Cricetulus griseus: one gene and its partners. The protein of the gene in region 2 binds, or shares a complex with, the protein of the main gene of each other region. Links are inferred from orthologs where the notes say so. Each region holds a gene or a part of one and is shown on either strand. Other genes may lie near its edges. The genes, in order: Mbtd1, Ing3, Anp32e and Vps72.

The links.
Region 1: Ing3 (region 2) and Mbtd1 share a complex: the UniProt entries of both Homo sapiens proteins name them as parts of the nuA4 histone acetyltransferase complex. The link is inferred for Cricetulus griseus from reciprocal best matches to the Homo sapiens genes ING3 and MBTD1.
Region 3: Ing3 (region 2) and Anp32e share a complex: the UniProt entries of both Homo sapiens proteins name them as parts of the SWR1-like complex. The link is inferred for Cricetulus griseus from reciprocal best matches to the Homo sapiens genes ING3 and ANP32E.
Region 4: Ing3 (region 2) and Vps72 share a complex: the UniProt entries of both Homo sapiens proteins name them as parts of the nuA4 histone acetyltransferase complex. The link is inferred for Cricetulus griseus from reciprocal best matches to the Homo sapiens genes ING3 and VPS72.

What each region holds. Positions count from the first base shown.
Region 1 is NC_048600.1:106,795,320-106,803,051, forward strand, and holds the start of Mbtd1 (MBT domain-containing protein 1), read left to right. Parts: upstream 1-2,955; 5' UTR 2,956-3,194; exon of another isoform or gene 3,195-3,198; intron 3,199-3,247; exon of another isoform or gene 3,248-3,489; intron 3,490-4,144; exon of another isoform or gene 4,145-4,205; intron 4,206-7,732. Other genes in the region: Utp18 (U3 small nucleolar RNA-associated protein 18 homolog), read right to left, coding at 783-895, 2,404-2,787. UniProt on the Homo sapiens protein: Chromatin reader component of the NuA4 histone acetyltransferase complex, a multiprotein complex involved in transcriptional activation of select genes principally by acetylation of nucleosomal histones H4 and H2A.
Region 2 is NW_023276806.1:205,239,444-205,246,715, reverse strand, and holds part of Ing3 (inhibitor of growth protein 3), read left to right. Parts: intron 1-659; coding exon 660-779; intron 780-1,065; coding exon 1,066-1,223; intron 1,224-1,715; coding exon 1,716-1,909; intron 1,910-3,653; coding exon 3,654-3,846; intron 3,847-5,627; coding exon 5,628-5,666; intron 5,667-7,272. UniProt on the Homo sapiens protein: Component of the NuA4 histone acetyltransferase (HAT) complex which is involved in transcriptional activation of select genes principally by acetylation of nucleosomal histones H4 and H2A.
Region 3 is NW_023276806.1:60,583,490-60,591,446, forward strand, and holds the start of Anp32e (acidic leucine-rich nuclear phosphoprotein 32 family member E), read right to left. Parts: upstream 5,372-7,957; 5' UTR 5,048-5,371; coding exon 4,994-5,047; intron 2,845-4,993; exon of another isoform or gene 2,825-2,844; intron 2,076-2,824; coding exon 1,926-2,075; intron 1,092-1,925; coding exon 969-1,091; intron 1-968. UniProt on the Homo sapiens protein: Histone chaperone that specifically mediates the genome-wide removal of histone H2A.Z/H2AZ1 from the nucleosome: removes H2A.Z/H2AZ1 from its normal sites of deposition, especially from enhancer and insulator regions.
Region 4 is NW_023276806.1:61,378,727-61,385,589, reverse strand, and holds the end of Vps72 (vacuolar protein sorting-associated protein 72 homolog), read left to right. Parts: intron 1-638; coding exon 639-791; intron 792-1,187; coding exon 1,188-1,302; intron 1,303-2,205; coding exon 2,206-2,382; intron 2,383-3,192; coding exon 3,193-3,337; intron 3,338-4,074; coding exon 4,075-4,462; 3' UTR 4,463-4,561; downstream 4,562-6,863. UniProt on the Homo sapiens protein: Deposition-and-exchange histone chaperone specific for H2AZ1, specifically chaperones H2AZ1 and deposits it into nucleosomes.

The DNA of each region.
Region 1 (7,732 bases), on a different chromosome or scaffold from region 2:
AAAAGAAAACAAAAAACCTGAAACCCACACTTTACATGGGGAAGATAAACATTCATGCAATCTGACAGTATTTATCAGTAGCCCTATAATACATGTAGTCTCTGTTCAAATAATAATACCCCCAAAGAATCTTTAAGAAATCAATTAGAAACACAAAAGGTTTTTCATAAAGATGCTTACGTCAGCATTCTGAAATGAAAAATAGAAAAATTCATTTGTTCAATAAATTTTTGATTCATACAGGGACAACACAGCCATTTAAAACTGTTCATAAAGGTGTTTCTTCAAAAGTGAGGTGCCATGCTTCAAATATAACTTTTAGATAGAAAAGGTAAAACTGTTAAAGTAAGTATGTAGTATACACTCACATAATACAGTGTGCTAACTTTATGTCACGTCTTCACTGAGTTTCAGGCACTATGCTAAAAATTCTATATGCATCACTTAAATCTGAAGGGCCTTCTGCTACAGTCACTATTCTGACACTCATTTTACTTATGAAGAGGTAGAGATTCCAAACTTGTCCTGAGGTAGTCAGGAACCAAAGGCAAGCTAAGATCTAATGCCACTGATTACTTAAGCAGTCTATCCTGCACACAGACAAGGAAAGACAATTTAACAGCGCCTTTCTTTCAGACACAGAATTGTGAACCACCTTTTTCCTGCACTTCCATATGTTCAATTCTTCATGTAATCATACTTTCCAAGACAATGGCTTGTAAAAATCTACAAGTTAACTTTTAAAGTGTCGGGAGGGATTCTGAAAGGAATGGGTAACTTACATTTCCTCATCTTCATCATCTTCATCCACCCAAACTGGCTTCTTCTGAGAAGGAAGAGTGTCTTTGGCTTCATCTTCCACTTCAGAGTCATCGGAGCTTCCATGTAGGTGACCCTAAGGAGACACACCATCCTTCAGGCTACTGTGCTTTTCCTATGGGGTGGGGGCAGACACCCACACCTTAGACTTAGATGGCTTGTAGAATGCTTTGCTTTCCTGGTCTGTTGATGAAATAATGTAATGGAATACGACCATAGCACATGCTGAAGGAGAAGGCAGGAAATGAGATCAAAACCACCAGGAAGAGTGGGCAGGAGGAGCAGGATGGAACAGTCAAGGAGAGGCAAGCACACTGAAAGGAAAAGACCACAGTAGACCAGGGAAAAAGGTAAGTGGACAGGTAAAGAACAAACCTCTAAGCTTCAACTATTAAATAACCCAGGGCCATCTAGAATCCCACAAAACATAATCTGTCTCCTACCCTTATAAGGAGGGTCTCTTGTTCTGTGTGCTTGGTCTCAACCTCCTTAAAATTTCATGCAACATTCAAACCTAAACATACTCCACAAGAAAAAATAAAATCCCCTCGAAATGAACCGAGCTCTCCCCCAACCCACACCACAGTGCCCAAGAAGTCAATGACAGTATCCACCTGCACTACTGACGTAAGGTCTTTCAAAGCCCACCAAAGGATTCCTTTCTGTCACACAGCTCGGAAAGTAACTGTTCTCCACCTCCCAAAGGAGACTGCTACATCCTCTCACTGAAGCACCCACACAAAAGGTCAGCTTAATTTAGCAAATGCTGGCATTCTTACTGAGGCGTTTCAACAGCCCTAGCTAAATTTAATTCCCTTTCCCAAATGTTTTCATTTTCCTCTCCACCATCGTACTCCTTTACCTTGTTTTTCTACCGCTACTAACACAAGCTCCATGAGATCAGGGGTTTTATTGGCTTTCTCCATTGCTGTGTCTCCCTCCGGTACCTAGAACAATACCTGGGACGCTCTACCTTAGACGGGGGACCCGGTACAGAACGAAAATAACGACAGCGCAAAACTGTATCAATCACGAAGGATTTATAACTGCTACGAAGAACTAGCATCCAAAAAAAAAAAAAAAAACCGTTATAGTCGAATACACCGATCATTCTCAAAAAAGTTGGGCGTGTGTCTCACACGGAGAAATTATTAAAACGCAGCTCTACGCCTTCCGCCCACGCCATTGGCTCCATCCACGAAATGGACTCGCGACAGGTGAGCACACCGCTACCCCGGGGGGTGGGGGGGAGGTTCCAGCAGAGGGTTATCAGAACCCGAAGATGCCCAACTCTCCAGTTAGCAGGCAAACCTTCTGGCAATCAAGGCAGCAGCTGAGCGCCTGCTGGATGCCAAGGGCCGCGGCCCCTTTAGGGCGGAGAAAGACCGCGTCTCCGCCCTCGCCCGCTCGCGGCCCAGCGCCGGAGGCGGAGAGCGCAGCGGTGCCCCCTCGGCGCCCGCGGTCGGACGGTCCCTCCCACCTGAGCGCTCGCCGCCGCAGGTCCCCAGGCTCCGCCCCCGGGCCTCGCCTCCCGCCGCGCACCGGCGGCAGCGTGTGCCCGCTCCGCGAGCAGGCCTCCCTCACCCGCGAGCTCCGCAGCCGCCGCAGCAGCGCGTCCTCGTCGTCCTCGACGTCGCCGAAGACCAGCTGCTCCAGACAGCGCTCGGCGGCCGGCTTGTCGTCCTCGATCGTCAGGCGGTTGCGCTGCCGAAGCCGGCTCTCCTCCTCCGCCGCCGCCGCCGCTGCCGCCGCCGCCGTGACCGCGCTAGGGGCCGTCCTCTGCCCGGCCTGCGGTGTCCGTTGGGATGAACGAGCGGCCTTTCGGGGCGTGCCGCCGCTCCCGGGCCTGGCTTCCCTCCCCGGCATCGCGCCGGCTCTCCGGTCTGGTTTCGTCCGGCTCCTGCGTTCCGGCGGCATCCTCAGGTCTGAGGAGAAACGCAGACGTTCACGTGGAGCACCACTGCGCATGTGCCGGGGCGTCTCGCTCCCCGCCGCGGCCCAGCCCCGGGGAGCCGGAAGGAGCCTGCGCCGCCTCGCGCCACGTGACCGGCACTCACGCGCTACGTCACTCGCACTCCGTCCGACAGCCCCTCCCCGTGTGGGAGTTCCTCAGGGAAGGCCAATCTTCCGGGTGTAGGGGGAAGCGGCGTGACTGGGGTGGAAAATTTTCCCAGCACAACTTCTCAGAGGCAGCAATATTGGAAGGGACTCAAGAGGGCCGGAGTAGAAATGAAAGTGGCTGAAAGAAACTTCTCTTCCTGCTGACTCCGGGCCCCACGCCTTGCCGCGAGCCCTCATTACCTCATCGCCTTCTGGTTTTGGTACGGTCCTTGAGTACGGAGCCTGCCGAGGGTCCCACGCTGGAGGGGAGAGAGGTGGGTACGTGGGGAAGTGGGCCAATCGGGGCGCGGGTCACGGCGCAGGCGCGCTGGGGAGGGAGGGCTATGCTAATGTTGTTGATATCCTGGGGCCACCCGAGTTAAAGGGGGGAAATCCGGGGGCTGCCACTGCCGCCACTGGCTCGGGCCCAGCCGGGGGTCCCCCCCTGTAGTCGCCGCAGTCCCGGGGAGAGGTGCCCGCCCCCTGCTCGGGGGGGAGGGGGCGCCGCGGGCTCGGGGAGCACGGACGGCCCCTACCCATGAGGCCCTGATGGAAAACACAAAGGATCTGGTGAGAGCCGAGCGCAGCAGCCGCTTTGTGTGCCAGGTTTGGGGGGGGGACGCCTGCAGCTGCCCGGCCCCAGGAACCCCGCAGCTCCGGGACCCCGCTCGCGGGCCTGTTTCTTCATCCCACGCCCCCTCCATCTCCAGAGCTCCCCTCCCCCTGCTGGCCGTTAAACGTTCAAGGGGTTCCCCTCCCCCCTCAACTTGTGACTTGGGGTTCTCTCTACTCTCTGGGAGGAAAAAAAAAATTGAGAAGAATTGAGAAGAAAGTTTTTCTCTGCCCTCCCCCCCACCCACCTGTTCTGGCTGAAGAGAAAGGCTAGATCGGAGGAGAGTTTCCTTTTTTTTTTTTTTTTTTTAAGCTGCCAACGGTGGGAGAGTGGTGTCCTCCCTTCTCTGGGGTGTGGGGGCAGGCGCAATCAGAGTTTGAAGGCTTTGCAGGGGAAGGTGCCCACTAGTGTGGGGCCAGTGCCGTGAGGCATTTTGCACGTGGAGGTGCTGATATTGAAAGGGGGCGGGGTGGGCACGTGTGGGAGGGAGACGTAGGAGTGGTGTCGGGGAGTCGGCGGCCGAGGCTGCTGCTTCAGAAGAGTTCCAAGGCGGTGGTGGGCTTCCATCATCCTTTCGTTCTCCTTTGTGAACTAGTAATCCTAACATTTCAGAGTCGGAAGAGACACTAGAAGTCACCCCAAGCAGCCGCCCCTGTCCAGCTTCTGACAAGTGGTAGGTAGTCTGACCTCTACTTAAACCTGCATACATAATGACACGCACTGCCGCCCGCCGAGGAAAGCACCTTCCATTATTTTCAGTCTTTCTGATAACGATACTCGTTTGTCTGCCCTTATTAGACCCTTCAGCCTCATTCATGTCCTGGTTAAGTTGCTCCCTTTTTTACTTCTCAAATTTGTTCTCACATCCTCCTCACCCACCCACTGCTCATTGGCCTATATTTTCCTGCCAGGAAAGAAGAGCAAGGAAGTGGAGGAAGGGGGGTGGGGAGAGTTAAGAGATAGTGAAGGCCAACTGAAAACTTTGCCTGCCGGGTCGGTTGCAAGTGTGCTGCTTACATGACTAAAGGTAGTTGATAGTATTCTCGGGAAGCTAGAGAATGTCTACGTGGGGATTTCATGGTTGTCTCGCTGGTATTCTTGAGATTAGGAATTTTAACTCCATTTCCTTAGTACTGCCAGTTACATTTGCCTGTGCCTGAATCACTTTTCCTAAGAATGTCTAAAATTGGGCCTAGAAAGGAATAGTGTTGAAGCTGATGAAGGCAATTACCGGTAAAACAATCAAAACTGTTCCTTCCTATCGATTTGACTTGTGGTCTTTGCAAACCCAGCCCCCTACAAAAAGGGAAGGCTGTGCAGCACAAAGGGTTGTTTTGTTTTGTTTTAACATTAGTGTATTATGGGATAGCGCATGCTACATTGGGGGGGGGGTCAGAGGACAGGTTGAAGTCATCATCTCAACTCCCATGTGGGACCCAGGTATCAAACCCAGGTCATCAAGGTTGTCGGCAAGACTTTTACCTACTGAGCAACCTTCCCCCCCCCAACAATTCTTATATGAAACTTAAAGTGTTTATAACACTTTAATGTTTACTTTTGAGTTTTCAGTATTTTTAATCATCTCTACATTAATATGCAGCAGAATTTGTCACCTAGTAGTTCACTTGAAAATACATATTGGCACCCACTGATGTGCTTAACTCCCAGTATCTCCTGATACTGTTAAAGCAAACTTTTTCCTGTTCCCCAGCCTATGATAGAGCAGTTGCTTTGCTCTTGTGTGTTTCAGACTGTTTACCTCAACACCAAAGAGTGTTTAGAAAGAAAATAGCTGTTTTTGCACCACCTCCTCTGAATAACAAGTAGCTTCTATTTATATAGAACCCCATATTCAAGGATTGCAAATGCCTTGCAGATTAGGGCAAAAGCTGTCTTGAATAAGTGTCTGTTCATAATATCTTCTCCTGAGCCAAGGTTTTTAACCATTTTGTAACTTTGAGCTTGAATTTCCCTCAGGGCTAGTCACTAGTGGATCCTAGCTGTGAAAATTTACAGAGCTCTTTACTCATGTTTTCAAAGTTTGAGTCAGTATGGGCTTTCAAGTTTTTTTCCTGCTAACTTTAACATGAACTGTCATGACATAATTGGACTGACTTTGGAAGCGTTTGCATTCTAAACATACTAGACAGGAACAACTGGTTTTGGGTTTGGTTTTTTTTGTTGTTGTTTTTTTTTTTTTTTTTTTTTTTTTTGGTTGGTTGGTTTTTTATTGTTGTTTTGTTTTTGTTTTTTCCCCGAGACAGAGTTTCTCTGTAGCTTTGGAGCCTGTTCTGGAACTAGCTAGCTTTTGTAGACCAGGCTGGCCTCGAACTCACAGAGATCCTCCTGCCTCTGCCTCAGCTTCCCGAGTGCTAGGATTAAAGGTGTGTGCCACCAACGCCCGGCAACTGGTTTTTTGTTTGTTTTAAAGATTTTATTTATTTATTATGTATACAACATTCTGCTTCCATGTATATCTGCACACCAGATCTCATAATGGATGGTTGTGAGCCCCCATGTGGTTGCTGGGAATTGAACTCAGGACCTCTGGAAGAGCAGTCAGTGCTCTTAACCTCTGAGCCATCTCTCTAGCCACAACTGGTCTTATTTTTAAAGAGGGCATTGCTGTATTTTTATGGCTGGCTATACATGGATCTTATTATATTAGTCTTCCAGATATTCCAGTGTTCCTTCTTGTCCCTTAGTTACTTTTGTAAATTAAAAACAAAGCAAATTATGTTAAAATACAGTATTCAAACTAAAGCATAATTGTTGTTTATAAGTATAAATGGTATATTGATGTCATATCCTAAATTACCAAAATTACTAAATTACCAAAAGCCAGCAGTGCTCAGGTGATCTGAATAAGCACATTCTAAAATTAGAGAAGTCAATTGTTTTGAATTGCTCCTTATTTCTCACCTTTTCATCTTTAAAATTGTTTCCATGTCTATCTAAGCCAGTGGTGTTTGCCTCTAATCCTACCACCCAAGGAGCAGAGTATACAGCTTTACTTGGGTTATCTAGTAAAACTCCCCATTTCACAAAAACAACAGAAGATTTAACTAAGGACAATAAGTTGTCTTTAGTTTCAGGGTTTCAAATACATGACAGGAAAAACCATAAAGACAGAAAAGATTTTAAGTGTTTACAAACTTAGATTCATTTTCTAATAGGGTATCCTTAATGGTCCCAGGTAACTTTTATTTTTACTAAAGATGCATGTTTTATTATTATTATTATTTTAGATTATTGTGGAGTTTTTGTTTTGAGGTAGGGTCTCAGGTATCCCTTTCAGGCCTCAAACTTAAGTGTAGTTCATAGGTATGTACCACCATATCTAGCTTATGCAGTGGTGGTAAGTGAGCCCAGAACTCCTGTGTGCCTGAGCTCTGTTACTGACACTATATCCCCAGCCAAGAGCTTACTATTTCTTAATCCTCAATTTTTTTATTAAGTATCCCCCCCCCCATGAATTTACAGTTTCTCTTCTGGCTTTGCTAGAAAGCATAATGAAAGATTAAAAGGCTATAAATTGGCTTGAATAAACCCTGAATGTAAGAAAAGGGGTGCAGTGGTAGTCAGGGGAACAATGGTCAGAAGAGGCTTGAGTTGCACTTTTGCCACTGTTTAGCCCCATGGCTGTGGGATGGCATCAGATGCCTTGATTTTTCTCCTTATAGTTGAAGGATTGGTATAGAATCATTTGTTGATGTCTAATAGAACTTTCTGCAGTCATGGAAATGTGTGTTATCTGTGCTAGCGAGTATGGAAGCCATCAGCCTTAGTGGCTATTGAACACTTAAAATGTAGTTAATGAATGGAAGCCTTTAGTATTTTATCATATTGTTTTCACTTAATGTCAACTTAAACAGCCATATATCTCCAAATTGGACAGTGTAATCACTGGTCTCATCTCTTGAAGACACTAGTTAAAAACACCCCTTTCCTGAAGGTGGTGGTTTTTAGTCCTACTATAACATTTGAGAATTTGTTGTAGGTCTGGTTTGGGATCTGCCTGTCTCTACCTCACTGTTGTGACCTCTTTTATGCGGTGCAGGAAAATCTGAACTTGAGTCCTAGGACTTGGGCAACAAGCACTCTACCATCTTCCCAGCCCAGTTTGATTTCTTGAGACAAAGTCTCATTTAATAGCCCAGGCTGGCTTTGAACTTGTGTTTGCCTCAGCTTCCAGATTAC
Region 2 (7,272 bases):
ACTGAGAAGTATCCTTCCCTTTCCCTTTTTAAAAAATACATTTTTGTCACAGTTGACTTTGCGATTTAAGCAAAGTGCATTTAATCTGAGAACAGGCAGTCTCTTCTATAAATACAGAGACAGAATATATAGAAACACCAGCGGCATCTCTCTGCTTCCTACAGACCTGAATTATATTTCTTCATATGGCTATGTCTCAGTCAGCCTCGCCTCTAAATGCTTAGCCTAATGTTTAGCATGTAATAAAGTCTCACTACCAATGAGTTAGTGAGTAAAAGAATTGTTGGATACATGGCTAGTTGATGGTGTTGCTGTCTTTTTTTTTTGGACAAGAGGAAAGAAAGGTAAATTGAAAGCTATTCTGAATGACAGGCAATATATTAAAATAGACTTCCTCTCATGGTATATGTGAAACCATAGTGCATCATAGGTTGTCTTTAGTATTTTGCTCCTATAAATTTCTAAAGTCCTTGAAGTGTCTGCTCTCTAAGTGAAACATGTGCTGTGGGCTGTTTGCTTGCCCCCTCCTTGCTGAGCATAATGGCCCATTTCATGGGGAACCTAGATCAGAATTATGGTTTATAAAGAGGTGGAAGTATTATGCCCAGTTTGTAGTCCTCTAAAGTTTAAAACTGTGTGAATTCTTTCTTTTTATTCAGAAAGGAAATATAATCCAACTTCTCACCATACAGCAACAGATCACATCCCCGAAAAGAAGTTCAAATCTGAAGCTCTCCTGTCCACCCTCACGTCTGATGCTTCTAAGGAGAGCACACTGGGTAAGTTGGTGCTCTTCAGTGTGGTAATTCCCTTGTTTTGTTTGTGTTGGAGTAAGGGCACAGAGAAGCACTCAGGGTTATTATTCATACCTGTGTTACCTGGCTAAAGTCTGCATGTGGATGGAGAATAGAAAAGGAAATTTGGCTTCCGTTTTTTCCATTGACTCAATCCCTAAAGTGCCTGAAGAATTTAAATTTCATGATTATATATGCTGAAAAATAATGTATTTTAAACCCGCAACATTGTGTTCTCAGCCCCCATTTTTATTTCTTTACCTCTTTACAGGTTGCCGAAATAATAATTCCACAGCTTCCTCCAACAATGCTTACAATGTGAATTCATCCCAACCCCTGGCATCCTATAACATTGGTTCATTATCTTCAGGGACTGGTGCAGGGGCAATCACCATGGCAGCAGCTCAAGCAGTGCAAGCAACAGCACAGGTGAAAAGTCAAAGGTTTAGAGGCAAATGTTACCTTTTGCTCCTGTTCTTGGCAACCCCCAATAGGAACCACTAGGTTCGAAGTGACGGGTTGAAGACATTGCCTGGTTTCGGTTTGAAGTTGACATTTAGGCTGGGTGTTGTTTTATTAATAATGCAAGGGGTTGTTGGGTAGAGAGTGCACTGTGGGTATCACACGCCCACCTTCTCCCAGTCAGTGCTCAAGTAGCCTGGTTCTCTTTGTGAGGACAGTGACTGTTCTTTCTGCAAAGTTAGGCTTCTGCTGGATTTGTGGTGGCTGCATTTAGCTCATTTCTGTAGTTTGCACACAGTGCAAGTTAAGAAGTTCCATTTCCCATAGTTTTTCTCAACTTAGCATAAAAATGATTTAGCATCTTTACATGAAATGACTTAAGTAACCATAACTTGTAATGCTTAAAAGAGAAAATACATATTTACATATATTAATGCTGTCAATGCCTGTCTACTTAAGATGAAAGAAGGACGAAGAACATCAAGTTTAAAAGCCAGTTATGAAGCGTTTAAGAATAATGACTTTCAGCTGGGAAAGGAATTTTCAATGCCCAGAGAAACAGCTGGCTATTCCTCCTCATCGGCACTCATGACAACCTTAACCCAGAATGCCAGTTCCTCAGCAGCTGACTCGAGAAGTGGCAGGAAGAGCAAGTAAGTTTTGGAGTGGAAGTGTGTGCCTTTGCTCAGTGCTGTTTGCATGGAGCCTCAGCTGGGCCTTTAGGAATTAAGTAAGGCAGGGTGCAGTGACCCAAGCAGACTGCTGGCGTGGGCAGATGGCTGGTGGCACTGCCTGACCTTGAAGGCTGGCAGTTGTTTAAGTGTTAAAGTCATTTGTAATTTTTTTGGACTTTGCATATAAGTGACTTTTTTTTTACTTTCTTTTGTTCAAGATAAACCATTTTATGGTACTGTTTCCATTTTTAGGTATTTCATGGTTAATTAATATAAAATGCAAATTGTATTCCAGGAAGTTTTTCCTTTTGATTAACAGTAAAACATCTAAATTTTTGCTGATGTCCTGAAAACTGATTACATGAAAATGTCCCTAGATTTGGTATGTGAGAGACTTAGGGTGATTGTGTGAACTGTGGAAATGAAACTTTGCCATGTTCATCTAAGGTAATAGATACAGCAGGTATTTATACAACTGAAATTCAAGCCAGGAGTGGTTGGTGCCTAGTACTTGGAATGCAGAGGCAGGAGGATTACTTTAAATTCAAGGCCGGCCTGATCTACATAGGAAGTTCAGGCCAGCTAAGGCTACAGAGCAGACGCTATTATCTGAAGATAAAAAAAGGTGCAAGTGCTAGGCCAAAAGAATTAATTATCTTACAGGAAACAGTCCACAGAATCAACTAACCAGGGCTCCTAGAGGCTCAGAGAGACTGAACCTACAATCTGGGAGTATACATGACCGTGGGATCGGAGGCTGTCTCTGGCTTTTTTTTTGCCTACTTTGGGGACCCTTTTCCTCCTGCTGGGTTGTCTTGTCCAGCCTTAATATGAGGGGATATGCCTGGTCTTATTGCAACTCGATATGCCATGTTTGTTTGATACCCAGGGAGGCCTGCCCTTTTCTGAAGGGAGACTGAGGAGGAGTGGACCTGGGGGAGAAGAGAGGTGAAGGGAGGAGAGGTTAACTCCTATTGGGAGTCTTCTTATGAGAATAAATAAAAAGGAAAAAGGAATTATCTAATAATTGTATTTTAATTTTATTTTTAAATGTATTACTTCTCTGCAAAATTCCTGAAAGACTAATCAGTGTAAAATATTCACAGAACTATTATATATATTAAAATTTATAGAATTGCCCAAATTTAATTTAACTCCTTATAGTAAGTTTCTGCATTTTAGAACTCTTGAATAGAGTTGGTGGTAAACAATTCATGAATTTTGACAATCTCAGCTCCATGTTCTAGACATGGTAGGCATAGGGCACCTACCCCTGATGTTGTAAGGATTTTTACCAAATACCAAATGTATATTTGCATTTAGGATTTTGATGAGAACTGTTCAGTTTACTGTGAAAATATAATATGATATAGTATAGCTACTACCAGAAGTTTTAAGTCAACAATAAATAGTAACTTTAATTTAGAAATTATTTTTAAAAGTTGAAAACATTTTAAGAGAATTTTCTCCTATTTATTTTAAATAGAGCATTTTAAAGTATTTTCTTCTCATTATTTTTATTCTCCAGAAATCAAAAATTGTAAATAAAAATAAACTATTACCAACAGTGTTGCTTTTCTTTGCTCTGGGAAGTTGCTTCTGAATGAGATTCTGTAACGTAGCATCAGGCATCAATGTGTCCTTTCCTTTTATGTCAGTTACTAGGAGTCAGTCTTAGGGGACCAAATGTGATAATAAAACTGATCTTTAATTTTATTTCCAGAAACAACACCAAGTCTTCAAGCCAGCAGTCATCTTCCTCCTCTTCCTCTTCTTCCTTATCTTTATGTTCGTCATCTTCAACTGTAGTACAAGAAGTCTCCCAGCAAGCAACAGTAGTGCCCGAATCTGATTCCAACAGTCAAGTTGACTGGACCTATGACCCAAATGAACCTCGGTACTGCATCTGCAATCAGGTAAAAGTCTGATGCCTGTCTGTAAAAGTGCACAGAATAAATAAGAAGGAAGATAACTGTTCCATTTCCAGCACATTTTTTATTCTAGCTAACATCAAGAATGACTTATTTGCATAATTTTCCTCTTATAAAAGTAACATACTTGTTGTAAATACCAAGAATATAATCGTGAGTTACACAGAATGTCAGCCTTCCAATACAACCTGTAGTGAGACACTTTGATGTCGTACCAGTGTGTACCTTGCTATATCTTGGCTAATGTAACATACTACTAGCCAAGTGGCTTACCCAGCAGAAACTCATATCATGGTTCTGGAGACAGAAGAAATCCAAGATTATGGTGCTTGTTGATTAGGTTCTTAGTAAGACCACTCTTAGTCTGAAGACCATTGCCTTTTTAGCGAGTGTCCATGGATGAGAGACAGGGGCATCATACTGTACATATGTGCAAGCATATGCCAGCTTCATTGTTTCTTCTCATCAGATTTTGGCTTTATTTAACCATAACCACAGACTCCTCACAGACTCAATCTTCAGTTATATGGGGTTATGACTTCAAAATAGTAATTTTAAAGGAATACAAACATTAATTCCCTATCAGTTATATACACATAATATATATGGATATGGTATGTTTGTATGTCTATGACATAATTTATCTTTTGCTCACTAAAACAAGGTTCTTTTTAAAATTTTTTCAAAGCTAGCTCTTGTGCTTTGTACCATAATTATTTAGTCTGTACCTAGCTGTAGATCATGTTACAGTTCTCATTTCTTTTAAATCACAGATATTATAAACATTATTTTTTAAAGATTTATTCATTATGTATACAGAGTTCTGCCTGTATGTATGCTTGCAGGCCAGAAGAGGGCACCAGATCTCATTATAGATGGTTGTGAGCCACCATATGGTTGCTGGGAATTAAAATCAGGACATCTGGAAGAGCAGCCAATGCTCTTAACCTCTGGGTCTTATCTCCAGTCCTAAATATCATTTTTAATGTAATTCCTTTTATACTAACTTTATATTAATCCATTCAAGTATAATGATGTTATAAATGTTTGATATGGTTTATCAAGATATATGTGTGTATACACATACACACACACACACACACACACACTATGTAAAATTGATATGCATAGCATTTCCTAAAGCCCAGTCAAGCACTATTATTTTTTTCTTAAATACAATGCACCAATTTGAAATTTTTGTATTACATGATCATTTTAGTGGGCTTTAGTATGTGTGCCTTTTAAACCATTTTATATTCTTATAAATTAACTTCTACCAGAGTTCGCTGTATTTTCTGTTGTTTTGTTATGTATGTTATTAATGTTTTGAGAGGCCCTATCTCAAAACACTACCTGGAGAGTCATTGAGGACACCTGCCTTCTCCCTCTGGTCTCAGTAGTAGACTCAGATGGCCTGTTGATGCAGAAGTGACCCAAGAGGAATAAAATCAGTCACTTGGTAGTTAGAGAGAAAGAAACTTTACAGTTTTACCATGAGGACTACCCCCACAAATCTGATCCTAGTCTGGGTGGCATACCTAGTGAATTCATTTAGACTTCCAAAGAGCCACAGTTCCTGGGCATATCCTCCTGCATTGTCCCATCGTCTTTTAAGAAAGACAACAACAACAATCACCATATTCCCAACTCCTTCGCTGTATTTTCTCTGTGAGTTTCTATCTGTTCTCTGACATCGTAAACACCTAATTTAGATTAGATACTTGTTAAGTAGTTATAATAAATTTGTCTAATTTTCTTTCAACTAGGTATCCTATGGTGAGATGGTGGGATGTGATAACCAAGATGTAAGTATTACATTTTCCATTTTGGAATGTAAAAAGTTGTAGATAATTGAATATTTGTCTTATTAACTATAATCTTCCAATCTGAAAATTGGGTTTTTGTTTATGATAACTATGTTATCATGATGGGAGCATCTACATGTCTACAGCAGGATTAAGTCCCTTCCTGAGTTCCCTGCTTAACGGTTTTCAAGGAAGTGTTACAGTGCTAGGTTCAGATTAAATTCTCAAGGTTTATTTCTGGCAATTCCAAGTGCTTTCCTTTCTTTCAGCTAAGATACAGTATTTGCTAAAGTCCAGGCCATTTACCACATTGAAGAAATGAGACTTTAAAGCCCTACATTCTTGTAGGTAGATGATGTCTGGGAATAATGAAGGCCTAATGGGATGTTGTTTCTCTCTCAGTATTGCAGCATTCAGCATTCCCTCCACCAGGGATTTATGCTGGTGCAAGCCATCTCTTCTCTGATGGGAAAATAAGAGGCAATATGAAGGAAGGTACTCCTGCTTCCTCTCTTAGGAGGTGTATCAGTTACTTGATAAGAATGCCCTGATGCAGAACAACTTACGGGAGGGAAAAGTTCTTCTTGCCTCACAGTTCCAGAGGGATACAGTGTGTTGTGGCAGGGGAGGCATGGCATCAGGAGTATGTGGTTGGCCTGGCCATCAGGAAGCTGCCTGATACTAAATAGTGTGCCCACACATGGGAAATAGAAAGGGGACAGCTAGCAGTAGTAGTAGCAGGGTATAAAACCTCCAAACCTACCCCCAGTGAAGTATTTTTAGCAAGGCTCCCTCTCCTAAAGATTGTAGAAACTTCCTAAACAGCTGGGGGCCATCTGTTTAAACACAGGAGCTTATCGGGGACAAACACAAACCACAACAGGGGCTTAATTTTGGTTAACTGCCTTACAGAAGAACCCCCTCTTTTAACCTCGAGGAGTACCTTGAAATCTGTGGCAGTAGTGACGCCAGTGGTATTGGAATCCTAATCTTACCAAGAGTGGAATTGTAAAATAGTCTAAAGAATAGCAAAGATGGCCTTGGTGCGGTGACAGTCATGTGTGTTTCCTCCCTGACAGGGTGGGTACAGTGTGTTCTTTAGATGGGCACAAGCCTTGAGCAGTTGGGGGCAGGGAGCTCCAAGCAGGGCTACCCCTACATTTCCAGAGCAGCACCCTGTTAGGTCTCTGGCAGCTAGAGAAGATGCTGACTGAGAGCCCATGTCCTCTGGGGTCCCGCTGCTTCCTCCTGTGCAGTGAAGTCTCTGAATGTTTCACAGAGTATTTTCCCCATATCTCTGAGTAGAGCACCAGAAAGGAAGCACAGCCATCCCACCTGATGTCTTTAGTTACCGATCACTCATTCCACTTCCTAAGAGAACAATTATGTCTGAATATCTTTAAATCTTTCACGTATTTCCCTTCTTCATGTAAGATCCATCTTCCTCTGTCCTTGGAGGTTGGTTCTGTCTGGCTGTCCAAGTTGATGACGCGGAGTGAATGTTCATTCTTTAGTGTTCAGGTCAGAGAAGCCTAGAGCCTCCTTTTTATCAAAGAAGCATCCTTTCTCTGGGCTTCCATTTCTTCGTCCATGAGCTGGATCAGCT
Region 3 (7,957 bases), about 140 Mb from region 2:
GTAACACGTCGTCCTCTCTCACACTCACACACTCACACACACACACAGCCAACTCTAATGAAACAAAAGTAAGTCTGGGCACCCTTTTTCCATTTTTATATTATTCATCTTCTGCTCCTATCATCAGAAAATACCTCTTAGTACCTCAAAAGGTACTATGTGTCCCCTTATTTTAGAAGAAAAAATAGGTGTTTAAAAAGATATTTGACACTTAAAATCAGAGTAAAGTCCTTTGTAAATAAATTTGTCTGGTGAGGGAAATAGCGGGGGAGAGAAGAAAGGGGAATCTGGGATTGGAATGTAAAAAATAAATAAAAACAGAAAAAATAAATTAATTTGTTGATGATGCAAAAATTATCTGGATTTTTTTTTTTACATTTTAATTATATTGAAGGGGAGTATGCATGCATATGCCACAAGCTTGTGTGTGTGTGTGTGTGTGTGTGTGTGTATGTGTGTGAGAGAGAGAGAGAGAGAGAGACAACTTTTGGAAGTGGGTCTTCCAGCTTGCTGGTAAGTGCCTTTAAAACTGAGCAGCACTGAGTGAGGCCTTTATTTTATTTTATTTTTGATTGATTGAGACTATGTAGTGGTATCTCTACATAGAGATAGCTGTCCCGGGATTCATTATGTAGACCAGGATGACCTCAATTTCACAGAGATCCACCTGCCTTTGCCTCCCAAGCACCGGGACTAAAGGCATGCGCCACCACCCAGCTGAGGCCTTTATTTTTAAGGAAGGGCTTCACTGCAGCACAGGCTCCACCTTGGTGTCTCCTCCTCTGCCTCAGTGTTGAGTGCCAAGCCCAGCTGGACATTTTAGTTAAAGAAAAGCAGCCATCTGGATCACAAGAGGTATTTCAGAAAACTCCAAACTTAAACAGAGATCAATAAAATAGAATATGAACAAACCCCAGATAAAATAAATTAATCCCAAAATGAAGTCCAGAGACAGTGGTTCTACTCACCAGGGCCTCCACTGTACTGAGGTCTTTGATTTTGTTTCCACTCAGATTGAGGTAGGTAAGATTTGGACATTTCTCTGCCAGGACTTCCAAGCCTCCAGATATTATATTGTCACTAAGTTCCAACTACAGATTCAACATGGAGAGAAAACCAAGAATCATGAAGCCTGAGGACCCATTTGAAGAAAACCATTTGTCATTTCTCTGACTTCCTCAGTTCCCATCTATCTGAAAAACAGATCAGAACCCTGCACAGTAGCTTAGCCGAGGTTCTTTCTGATGAGGGATAGTGGCAGATACTAAATCCAGTCTAATTTAAATTTCTAAGCAATGCTGAAACTAATTCCAAAATCATTTCTTTCTTTCTTTCTTTCTTTTTGGTGGTATTTGGTTTTTTAGCGCTCTCTGTGTCCCAGAACTCACTCTATAGACCAACCAGGCTGGCTTTGAACTCAGACATTTGCCTGCCTCCACCTCCTGAGCTCTGGGATTAAAGGCATGTGTCTCCACTGACCAGCTCTTTTCTTTTTAATTAATTAGTTAACTAATTATTCTTATTTTATGTGCATTGGTGTTTTGCCTGCATGTGTGTCTGTGTGAGGGTATTGGATCCCCTGGAGCTGGAGTCACATTTGTGACTGGGAATTGTGTGCTGGAAATTGAACCCAGGTCCTCTGGAAGAGCAGCCAGTGCTCTTGACCACTGAACCGTGTCTCTAGTCTCCTTCCCTTTTCTTATCTCAAGAAATTTAAAGATTTCTTTTCTTCTTCTTTCTTTCTTTTTGGTTTTTAGAGACAGGGTTTCTATGTGTAACAGCCCTACTAGTCCTGGAACTAGCTCTGTAAACCAGGCTGGTCTCGAACTCAGAAAGAATCCTGAGCGTTGGGATTAAAGGTATGCACCACCACCACCCAGCCTCAGCATAAAAACCATGGTGTCCACAAACTACTCCCAACTCACCTTTCGAAGTTTGTTTAAGCTGGGAAGCCGGGCCAAGGAACTTAATTCCACATTGGCCATACTGAGAAACTCCAGTTCTTTAAAGGTATCATTCAGGCCTTCAATTTCCCCATTGACACACAAACAGTTATCAAGGACTAACTCTGTCACCTGTCAGAAGAAACATATTAACAGTTAGTCTGCATAGCAATAGACCTGTGTCTGAACACTCTAAAAACACAAATATTAAAAACATCAATCCCGCTGGGCGTTGGTGGTACACGCCTTTAATCCCAGCTCTCGGGAGGCAGAGGCAGGCGGATCTCTATGAGTTCGAGGCCAACCTGGTCTAAATAGTTCCAGGTCAACCAAAGCTACAGAGAGAAAGACCCTGTTTAAAAAAACAAAAACAAAAACCTACCAAACCAAAATACCAACCACAACATTGGAACTTGGTAGTAAAGGGGGAGGGTCACTTTTTTGTTTTGTTTGATGGGTAGGTAGATAAGACAGATAGACAGACAGTGGTTTTGCCTGCATGTATGTCTGTGTACCCTGTGCATGCAATGCCCACGGAAGCAATGGGTGTCGGATTCCTAGGGCTGAACTTACAGACAGTTCTGAGCCACCATGTGGGTTGTAGGAATTCAAACCTGGTCCCCCAAAGACCAGCCAGTACTCTTAATTCCTGAGCCATCTTTCCAGCTCAGAACTGGGTTTCTTATTAGATCTGAGTTGTAGGCTTATTTTTATTTTATGTGTACAGGTGTTTTTCCTACATATGGATACCTCTATGCATACCTGGTGCCTTCCGAGGTGGAAGAAGGAATGGTAGCAGTTGGAAGCTACCATGTGAACAAGTGCTCTTGACTACTGAGCATCACTCCAACCCCAGATCCCAGATGTAGTAACAAACTTACCAGTGCACCTGAATAGACCTAATCAGATCCTGGTTCTCTGTCCCCAGTACAAAAATGTTTATTTAAAGGCTAAAAATCAGGAACAACAAATGCCATCTTCTCTACTTGGGTGTAACTTTGGCAATCATTATTCCAATGAGCAGAAATGGAACCATAACATCCCTTTTAGAGACCAGGAAGCCAAGGTCTAGAAAAAAAATGACTTGCATTAATAGGTCACACCCTCAGTATGGTGGGGTGTCTTGATTCTTAAGCCTTTTTTTTTTTTTTTTATTTTGCGTTGTTTGTTTTTTGTTTTGGTTTTTCTGTGTAGCCCTAGCTGTCCAGGAACTCACTCTGTAGATCAGCCTGGCCTCGAACTCAGATATCTGTGCCTGCAAACCCTGGGATTAAAAGTGAATGCTGCAACCAAAGGTGTGTGAAACCACCCTCCGGTTCATTTGTTTTTGAGATAGCATTTCATTATTTAGTCCTGGCTGACCAGAAACTTGCTTTGTAGATCAGATAGGCCTCAAACTCAGAGACCCATCTGCCTCTGCCTCCGGAGTGTCAGGATTATAGAACTGAACTAAAGGCGTGCACTATCACGCCAGGCACCTCTTAAGCCTTTGGATTCCAGTCTTATCCAGGGCTAAGAGAGCTCAGCAAGAGGCCTTGTACATCCAGTGTCAGAAACCCAGTTCTTCCGCCAGAATACGCCACTACACTGTCTTGGGACTCCTGTTTGCAAATTTGGATTCTAAAACAATACAACCCAGTTTACAAGTTTTCCAAGGAGAAAGTAAACTGGGCACTTTATAATCCGCCCATATAGCGGGCAGTGGTGGCCCACTTGGGATGCAGAGGCAGGTGGATCTCCGAGTTCAAGGTCAGCCTGGTCTACAAAGGGAGTTCCAGGACAGCCAGAGCTACAGAGAAACCCCGTCTTAAAAAGCCAAAAACATAAATAAAAATAAACTGTCTATATAAACCTGTTACTACACCATGGCAATGTCCCGCAATTCTCCAAATTGGAGGCGAAAGGATGCGGGAAGAGGCCCACATTTGCACCTAAGGCTTATGAGAAACTGCTTGTTTTGATTTGTTTTGCCCTGCTCGACAGAGTCCCACCTGCAGCCATCCTCCTACCTCGGCCTCCAAAGGCTGGGAATTACAGGTATCAGTCACCATGCCCTGCTGATGGACAGCTTTTTAACTTTGAGTTATTCCAGAATCTTCTAAAAAGCTCTAGAAAACTTCTAGTTCTCCCAGCGATAATAACCCTTACAGAAACAATGTTTCCTCCACCTCGCTCTCGGCTGAAGTCGGCAGAAACCCGCAAACCCGCCACAGAAAAGAACAGGGCTCAGGCACGGGTAGCTCTGCACGGTGACTGCGAAGGCCGGGCAGACCGGCGCCTTTGCTAGGGCGTCAAGGGACCACCGTAGCGCCGGTCCCTTGTCCCTCGTCTTCAAGCAGCCGCGAACCGGCGAGCCCCAGGCGCCGTCACCGCCCGCCGCGGCCCAAGCTTCCGACCCAGGAACCTGGCGGGAACCGCAAGGGAACCCGACGGCGGGGGGCTCGAAGGCGACGCCTCCGGGGGCCCCTCCCAGCCCGCGAGTCTTCCCGACGACCGCACACGGCACTGCGCGGCTCGCACGAGCCACGGGCTTGCGTAGAGAGGTCCGCGCGCCACGAGGATCGCGGCCGGCGCCGTCGGGTCCCGGGATTCCGCCGCCGCCCGGGCCCGGCGCCGGCGCCGGCCCGGCGCGCGCCGCCCGCGAGTGGGCACCGCCGGAGGGAGCGCAGGGTGCAGATCGGCCCGAGACCCACGCCCCGGGCCGCGGCCGGCCGAATGGCGGCACCGCGGGAAAGTTACACCAACTTCGCAGGTGGCGAAGGCCCGGGGGTCGCGCCCACGCCGCCCGCCCCCGCGAGGCCGGGCCGCCAGACTGCGGGGACGCCGAGGGGCTGAGCCCCCGCGCGCCCGGGAAAATGCCCCTAGAAACTTAAGCCCTTCGCCATTTTAAGCACAAGAAGCCTGGCGATTTAAAACTTAAAATAAACACCCCGCCCCCACCGCGAGTGGGGGCGCGTTTCCCAGTCCGCCCCGCGCACCCACCGGGACCACCGAAGCCCACCCCTCGCGACACAGGGCGGGAGGGGAAGGTGGGGGCTGAGTCATCTCACCTCCTCCGGGGCTCTGTTCTTCAACTCCAGGTTAATCTTCTTCTTCATCTCCATGTCCTCCTCCTTTCCCCTCGCCTGCCCTCCCCACTGCCCCCAACCCTAAAACACCCCTAAAGGTCTGGAGATGAATGAAAAGAGACGCAAAGACGAACGCCCACTACCACCCGGGTGTGGGGGAGAAAGAAAAGAATAGCAAATGGAGTCCGACGACTTGGGACTAACTCGGCTGCCCCCACCTTCTAGTCCACACACCCGCGCGCGCACACACGGGCACGCACACACATTCACACAGAGAGAGAGAGAGAGAGACACGCGCGCGCCCGCCCGCAGTTCCTTCCCCTTCAATGGCTGCTGCGAGACTGAGCCTCCATGACACGGCACCGCCAACCCCCTGGCCTACGCTCCACCCACCTCCCGACTGCATTGGCCGAGCCTTTAGCGTCGCGCCACTCCATTGGCTTAGAGGACTGCCCATCCGTCGTTAGGGGGGCCCCGGACCAGAAACTCGGGGTCTATTGGCTCTGAGCAAGCGCGCAGTTAATTCCGATAGGTCCGGGAGGATGTACGTCCCGGAGAAACGATTTTGAATCCCAGTCGCCCCCCTCCTTTTCTTTGTGTGATTGGCGCGCTTTCCCTCGCTAGTGGGACGGTTTGGCTGTCTATTGAATTTGTTTTTGTTTGTTTGAGGGCTTTCTGGCTTCGGGGTTAGAGGAAGGGAAAGGGCGTCGCTGGCGTCCCCAGGGTGTAAGCGGGTCGGTCATCCAGCGCACCGCACTCCAGAGCTTTCGGTAGTCTTAAAGCACAAGCTCCCTGCTATGCGGCTTACCCAGTGAGCCAGGGACTCAACGCAAGAGCAGCGAGTTCGGGACACCTCCCCGTCTCGAACGGCCCTGGCGTTCACCAGAGCGTGATAAAGAAGGTATTTTAACTTCCACTGTCAAAGGCGAAACGACTCTGGAAGCAGTTGAGTTTAGCACGTTGAGTCAGAAACCTTTAAATAAAACTGTCCTGTGGGAGTTGATACTGAGGTCATTTGTCGCTGGCAAATAGTTGGGACCTTGGAGGAAAAGCAGCACGGGCCTAAAGAAAACACAATTTCCAATTTCCCATTTCCCTTTGGTAAGTTTCCTGCAGAAATCTACTTAAAGTGTTCTTTTAAAGTGTATGTGAGGCACTGAAGAGACGATGTCCTCTTGCAGAGGACCCTGGTTCTGTACCCACATGAGGGCTCCCAATCATCCATAACTACAGTTCCAGGGAATTCAATAGCCTCTTTTGACCTTCACAGGCTCCAGGGCCAGATGTGCGTGTGCATACATTAAAGCAAAACACTCAAATACATTTTAAAAAGAAAGTCTACTTAATGTTTCTGTAATTCGAAGCATAATGGTACACACGAAGCATAATGGTCACAGACCTCCGAAGGGAGAGGCAGGCAGAACTGCCTGGTATACAAAGTGAGTTCTAGGCCAGCCTCTATCTCAAAACAAAAACTGAAAACCTAAGTAAGAAATGAGTACTGAGCCGGGCGTTGGTAGTGCACGCCTTTAATCCCAGCACTCGGGAGGCAGAGGCAGGCAGATCTCTGTGAGTTCGAGGCCAGCCTGGTCTACAGAGAGAGTGCCAGGATAGGAAAGCTACACAGAGAAACCTTGTCTCGAAAAACCAAAAAAAAATGTAAAATAAAATGAAAGATAGAGTGCTGGGATTAAAGGCGTGTGCCAACATCGCCAAGCTTCTTTACACTTGTTTACTTATTTTGCGATGTATAGGAAGTCAGAGGACAGCCTGCAGGAGTCAAGTGCTTTCCTTCCACTGAGCTAGTTCCTGGGTTCAAACTCAAGCTGTCGGGTTTGGCAGCAAGCACCTTTACCTGCTGAGCCACCTTGATAGACATCCTCTACAGTTTCATATTCCTACTAGGCATAAGATACAATAAACAGATATCTGCTCATCTAACCCCTGCTAGGATAGTTAACAATAATAATGTTATGTATGTAGCTAGACACTGAATTTATAGACTATCCATAAACACAACAAAGCATGGTAAGTGGATCTTTGGTCTTTAAGCTTGTATCTACTTTTCCTGGCCTATGCTAAAAGAATATGAATTCATCTAGTTCCACAGCAATCTAGCCTACAAATCCAATGTACACAGTTACAAGACAGACACATTCAATGCAAGAAACCTAGCTATAGAATTTTCATATGCTCTTCTGTTATACAGTTAATAAGTATATTTTCCTACTTATTAATAAATTTATTTTTTGCCAAGGTTGTTAGGATGATTGAACTTCCTCATCAACTTGGTTGGATTTAGAATCACCTAGAGGGTATGTCTCCGAGAGTGTTTCCAGAGAGATTTAACTGATGAGAGTAAACCAGGATGGCCTTGAACTCACAGAGATCCATCTGCCTCAGCCTCCCAAATGCTGGGATTAAAGGTGTGAGCCACCACCGCCCTGGTTTGGGTGGTAGCATCTTACCTGCTGGGATCCCTGACCAAATTAAAGGGAGAAAGTCAATTTAACAGCAACATTCATATATCTCTAAGATTATCTTAGTATTTAAATATTAAGTTTTTAAAGCAAGGCTCTGAGGAATGACATGTAAGGGTGTCTTCTGGCTTCCACATGTCTGTATCCACACACTTGCTTGCATCACAGCATGCACATATGCACAAAAACAAGAATGAGCTCTCGTATACATCTAGTGGGGATGACAACCCCTATAGTCACTGTGGGAAAGTTTGGCGGTCCCTTATATAGTTAAACATGCATTTACAGTATGACCCTTGTATGTCAACATTGAAAGTGGTTCAATACTGCAAACCTAGACACGGACCAGATGTTCTCCAGCTTGCCAATAAGTGAGCAAATGTGGTCTACACACAGAGAAACTCAGTGATAAAGTGTAGCAAATTCCCTATACCCAGCAACAGGAATGATGCTAAGTGTAAGAAGC
Region 4 (6,863 bases), about 140 Mb from region 2:
TGTTGGGGACTGAAACTAAGGCCTCTTTCATACTAGATAAGCATTCTACCAACTGAGCTATTTCCTCAGCCCTTAATCAGTTTTTTTGGGAATAGCATCTCTTATAACCCAGGCTTGACCTGAACCTCTAATTAGCCAAGGAATTTTATATCTATGTTTCCTTACTTTAGAACTTATTTATTTGTGTTTTTAAACTTATTTGTGGTTTTGTTTCAAATAGAGTCTCACTCTGTAGCTTATGCTGTCCCAGATCTCACTGTGTAACCCAGGCTCCCCTCAAACTCAGCAGTCTTCCTGCCTAGACTTCCTGAATGTGGGATCATAGTCATGAACTATCCTGACTCATGGCTCAGCTACAAGTTCTTGTCATAGCTAGTTCTATCCTTCAGTAAATGAGGCCAAACCACATCCTTTAGACCTCCAGTAATTAACATGGTGTTATAGATGATATAGGCCAGCTGTCTGTAACACTGGAAGGCAGGCAGTGTTACTCAACTAGAAACCATCAGAAAGGCTTTTTCTGTGAAAAGCTAAATGGGAAAGAATCCGAGAGTCACTGTCAGGGGAGTATTTTGATCCACTTCCTCCTCCAGGAGCATTAACAGAGCCAGTCAGTTCCCATCTTCCTTTGTCCTCAGGAATCTGGAGATGATGAGTATCAGGGAGACCAGTCTGATACAGAGGATGAGGTAGACTCTGACTTTGACATTGATGAAGGAGATGAACCATCCAGTGATGGAGAAGCAGAAGAGCCAAGAAGGAAGCGCAGAGTCGTCACCAAAGCCTATAAGGTACAAAGGAACCTTGTTTCCTTGGACACCAAGGAAACCTTTTTGGAGGTGGGAAGGTAGGGGTGGAATGGAGGGGGGACTTCTATTTGTCTGTTTGTTTGTCTCTTATTTATTTATTTGTTTACTTATTTATTTATTTTGAGGCAGGGTTTTCTGTGTGACAGTCTTGGTTGTCCTGGAACTCGCTTTGTAGACCAGGCTGGCCTTAAACTTGCAGAGATCCACCTGCTTCTGCCTTCCACGCGCTGGGGTTAAAGGTGTGCACCACCACATCCAGCTGCTTGGACTGTTTTAATTGTGTTCTCCTCTTGCTGGATGTTGGTTTTGTCTGATGAAATCCTCAACTTTACCCTTATCTCTTCTGTTTTCTGGTATCTGATTCTAATTTGTCCCCAGGAGCCTCTAAAGAGCTTGAGGCCTCGAAAAGTCAGCACCCCAGCAAGTAGCTCTCAGAAGGCCAGAGAGGAGAAGGCACTGCTGCCACTGGAGCTGCAGGATGATGGCTCTGACAGTAAGTTTAAATCTGCTGACAGAATTTAAATGTGATGATTAAATGTTCTGTCTGAACTAAGTTTACTAAGGTTGATAACTGTTTTGTCATGTAAGGAGGGTGTGTGTGTGTGTGTGTGTGTGTGTGTGTGTGTGTGTGTGTGTGTGTGTACATTCATGGGGACGTGTCTGTGTATCAGCCTACTTTATCGTATGTATGCTTGTATGTGCAGATGCATATAGAGGCCAGAAGAGCTAGAGTTGCAGTTTTGGGGGTGGGGCTTGTTACATGTGTGCTAGTGTCTGAGCTCCAGTGGTCATGATTGCTCAACAAGCACCTTAACCACTGAGCTAGCTCTTCAACTCGGGAAAATCATTATTCTTAGAAATAGACCTAGTCTGATGGTGCAGGCCTGTAATCATAACTACTCAAGAGGCTGCAGCAGGAGAATCACAAGTTCAAGGCCAACTTCTGTGCTATAGAGCAAGCTTGCCTGATAATTTAGTGAGAATGTCTCAAAATTAAAAATATGAAGGCTGAGTCAGGCAGTGGTGGCACACGCCTTTAATCCCAGCACTGGAGAGGCGGAGGCAGACAGATCTCTGTAAGTTCGAGATCAGCCTGATCTACAGAGTGAGTTCCAAGAGAGCCAGGACTGTTACACAGATAAACCCTGTCTTGAAAAACAAAACAAAACAAAAAAACAAAAGAAAGGAAATTTGTTTTAGTTGGGCGTGATGTTACATGCCTTTAATCCTATCACTGCAGAGGCTGGAGGATCTCTGAGTTCTAGGTCAGTCTGGTCTGCATAGTGAGTTCCAGGACAGCCAGGATTTTGGAAATGTGTTTTAAAAATTAAAAAAAAAGAAGAAGAAAGAAAGTAGAAATGAATTCAAAGAGTTCTTCCCATCTTACTTTCTGCAGGTCGGAAGTCTATGCGTCAATCTACAGCTGAGCATACTCGACAAACATTCCTTCGCGTTCAGGAACGGCAAGGACAGTCCCGGAGGCGAAAGGGTCCCCACTGTGAGCGACCACTAACCCAGGAAGAGCTGCTCAGGGAGGCCAAGATCACAGAAGAGCTCAACTTACGTTCACTGGGTCAGTCTGTGAGGTGCATGAGGAAAACTGAAACCTGGAGGACCAGACAAATGGAGATTGGAGGCAAAATGATTAGAAAGTTCACACTTACTAGTTCCGGCTCGTGGGGTGGCGGTGGTGCACGTCTTTAACCCCAGCACTTTCTGGGGAGCAAGAGGCAGGTGGATGGATCTCTGAATTCAAGGCCAGCCAGAGCTACATAATGACACCATGTCTCCACCCCCAACACACCTCAAATAAAAAAGGGAAACTGTCATCAGGAATTGTATTTCATCTGAAAACTGGACAGACTATGTCTGAGCCAGGAGCAGGTTGGTGGTCGTTTGGGGTTGGGAGAAATGGAAATCAGTGTGTTCCTATCACAAGGCCTCTTCCAGTATTGAGTGGGTAAGGACCTGCTTATATTTGAGAAAGGAAGGACTTCTATAGCTGGCCAGAGTAGCAGTGATTAGATTAATAATTAAGATCATAGGACAGGGCCTAGTGAGATCTGTGATAGCTCAGCAGGTAAAGGTACTTGCCAACAACCCTGTTGACCCAAGTTTGATCCCTGGAGTTCATATAATATAAGCAGGGAACTGACTCTGGCAAGTTGTTTTCTGACCTCTACATGCATGTGCACATGTGCGTGTGCAGATGTACTCGAGAGCGCACACACACACACACACACACACACACACACACACACACACACACACACACACACACACACACACACACACACGTAATTTAATAGATCACCGGCCAGAGCTACCGTGTGGGAAAAGATAGACTGATCCTTCCCTCGTTCTCCTGTTGATCCTCTTGCAGAGACCTATGAAAGGCTGGAGGCTGACAAAAAGAAGCAGGTTCACAAGAAGCGCAAATGCCCTGGGCCAGTAATCACCTACCATTCAGTGACAGTGCCACTTGTTGGGGAGCCTGGTCCCAAGGAGGAGAATGTGGACGTGGAAGGGTGAGTGAACCCCGTCTCCCTGGCTTCTCTTAGAGGTTACTTCCTCCTACAGACGTTTCTCATCCTTCTCTCAGCTTATTCCTTCCTGTTTTGTTTTCTTGAACAGTCTCACTGTGTAGCCCAGGCTAGTCCCAAACCCATGATCTACCTGCATCTTCCTCCTTAGTACTGGGATAACAATTGTGAGTCATCATGCCTTGTTTTTGTTTTGTTGATTTGTTTGTTTGTTTGTTTTGAGACAGGGTTTCTCTGTGCAGCCCTAGAAGTCTCTCAGTAAATCAGGCTGGCCTAGAAGTCACAGAGATCCACCTGGCAATAAAGGCATGCTCTACTACCTCCCAGCATTTTTATTTTATTTTATTTAAATGTAAATCAATATTTTACCTGTACGTATGTCGGACCTGGTGCCCATTGAAGCCAGAAGAAGGAGACAGATTTCTTGGAACTGGAGTGACAGGTGGTGTGAGCCGCTGTTGGGTGCTAGAAGTGAAACCAATTTCCTCTGGGAGAGTAGCTGGTGGTACTCTTAAATGCTGAGTCGTCTTTCCAGCTCCCTGCCCAGCTTTTTGTTATTGAGACAGGTACTTGCTCTGTCTCTCCAGTGGCTTGAAGCTCAGGGGAGTCATCTTCCCTCAGCCTCTCAAGTACTGACAATACAGCCATGTACCACACCACACCCAGCCTGATTCCTTGCCTTCTCCTCGGCATTTTGTAATTTTTCTGTCTTTTGCCCTCAGACTTGATCCTGCTCCTACAGCTTCTGCACTGACTGCACATGCTGGCTCTGGACCTGCTGTCCCTCCTGCTCACTGCTCACGTACCTTCATCACATTCAGTGATGATGCAACATTTGAAGAGTGGTTTCCCCAAGGGCGACCCCCAAAGGTCCCTGTTCGGGAGGTCTGCCCAGTGACCCATCGTCCAGCATTGTACCGGGACCCTGTTACAGACATACCCTATGCCACTGCTCGAGCCTTCAAGATCATTCGTGAGGCCTACAAGAAGTACATCACTGCCCATGGACTACCCCCTGCTGCCTCAGCCTTAGGCCCTGGCCCCCCACCCCCTGAGCCACTCCCTGGCTCTGGACCACGAGCCTTGCGTCAGAAAATTGTCATTAAATAGATTCCTGCTCCATAGAAACGTCTTTCCTCTGCCGACCTGGCTCTCAGTTCCTCCTCTTCCCTTTGTCCTCGATGAGCTTTGCTGTTTTTTTTTTTTTTTCACCATTTCTTCTCCTAGTTCATTCTGGTTTTGTTAGAATGTTGTTTTCTTTTTTTAATCTAATAAAATGGTAAAATCCTTTTTGTATGGTATGAATATGTGAGTGTATTTGTCTACTTGGGTTGTTTAATTTTGTTTGTGCTAGGATTGAACGCATGGCCTTGTTCATGCTGGACATGTGGTTCACTACTGGGATACCCTCTCACCTTGTTTTCTCACTCTTTCCCTTCTTCCCTCCCCTTTTTCTCTCTTTTGAGATGGAGGTGTCTGTATAGCCCAGGCTGGCCTCAGCTAAGATCTCCCTGCCTTTGCCTCCCAAATGCTAGAGGTAGTCTTGGCTGTCACACCTGTCCTTAGGCCTTTTTATTGTTTGATAGCACTTGATGATATGAGCTGTTGTTTGTTTTTGTCTATAGATGTTTTGTCTGCATGTATGTGAATACAGTATTCACATATGTACATATGATATACACAGAGGCCGGAACATGAGATTGAATCCCCTGGAATGAAGTTACAAACAGTTGTAGCTGCCATGTAGTTGCCAGGTGCTGGGGTCCTCTAGAAGAGCAGCCAGTGTTCTTAACTTTGCCACTTAGCCATTTCTCCAGCTCCTCCTCCTCTCTTCTTCCTCCTCTTCCTCTTCCTCCTCCTCCTCCTCCTCCTCCTCTTCCTCCTCTTTTTGTTGTTGTTTGTTTTTGTTTTTTGAGACAGAGTTCCTCTGAGTAGCCCTAGCTGTTTTGGAATTCCCTCTGTAGGCCAGGCTGGCCTCAAACTCACAGAGATCCACCTTCCTCTGCCTCCTAAGTGCTGGCATTAAGGCATGTGCCATCACCACCCACCCTTTTTTTTTTTTTTTTTTTTTTGAGACAGGGTGTCTTAGGGTTTCTATTGCTGTGAAATGACACCGTGACCATAGCACCTCTTTCAAATGAAAACATTTAGTTAGGGTGGCTTACTTAACAGTTCAGAGGTTCAGTCCATTATCATGGTGCGGTATGGCTACATACAGGCAGACATGGTGCTGGAGAAGAAGCTGAGAGTCCAACATCTTGCAGGCAACAGGAAGTGGTCTGATTATTACACTGAGCAAAGCTTGAGCATGTGTGAGACCTCAAAGCCTGTATCCACAGTGACACACTTCCTCCAAGGCCATACCTACTCCAATAAGGCCACACTTCCTAATAGTGCCACTCCCTTCGGAGGCCTTTTCTTTCAAACACAGCATTTCTCTGTGTAACAGCCCTGGCTGTCCTGGCTGTCCTGTTCTGTAGGCCAGCCTCAAACTGACAGACATCCACCTGCCTCCCAAGGGCTGGGATTAAAGGCATGCACCACTACTACCTGACTTTTTTTTTTTTTTTTTTTGAGTGATTTATTTATTTCATGTTTATGAGTGTTCTGTCTTTCTGGGCATCAGATCCCATTACAGATGGTTTGTGAGACACCACGTGCCCATGTACGTGCTGGGAATTGAACTCAGGACCTCAGGAAGAGCAGCCAATGCTCTTAACCACTGAGCTATCCAGCTTATTTTTCTTGGTTGTGGAGGGGGCGCAGGTTGAGACAGTGTTTCTCTGTAAAACAGTTCTTGCTGTCCTGGAACTTATGTTATAGACCAGTCTGGCCTCTAACTCACAGAGATCCGCCTGCCTCTGCCCATCGAGTGCTGGGATTAAAGGCTTGCACCACCACCGCCTGGCTCTTACTCTTTTTTTTTTTTTTTCCCATTTTTTTTAAGACAGGGTTTCTCTGTGGCTTTGGAGGCTGTCCTGGAACTAGCTCTTGTAGACCAGGCTGGTCTCGAACTCAGAGACCCACCTGCCTCTGCCTCCCAAGGGCTGGGATTAAAGGCGTGTGCCACCACCGCCCGGCTTCTTATTCTTATTTTTAGTTCTTGCTAAATTGTCCACGCTAATTTCAGACTCCTTGGATCAATCTTCAGCCTTAACCTTCCAAGTGCCAGGCCTAGAGGTGAAATCACTATTCCTGCTTTGTCCCAGCATATATTTATTATACAAAGTAATAATAAGCTTCATAAAGATGCTTTTATTCAAGCTGGCATATATTTTTTATTATACTTACCTGGGCTATCCATAAGTAATTCTAAAGTGTTTGTTCTTTAAAGTTAAATACCAAAACAAAATCCTTACATTGAGAGAGAGAGAGAGAGAGAGAGAGAGAGAGAGAGAGAGAGAGAGTGTGTGTGTGTGTGTGTGTGTACATGCGTGTGTCAGGGGTGGTGTGCATATGCAGAGGCCAACCAATATCTTCTGTAATTCCCACCCATTCCTTTGAGGCAGGG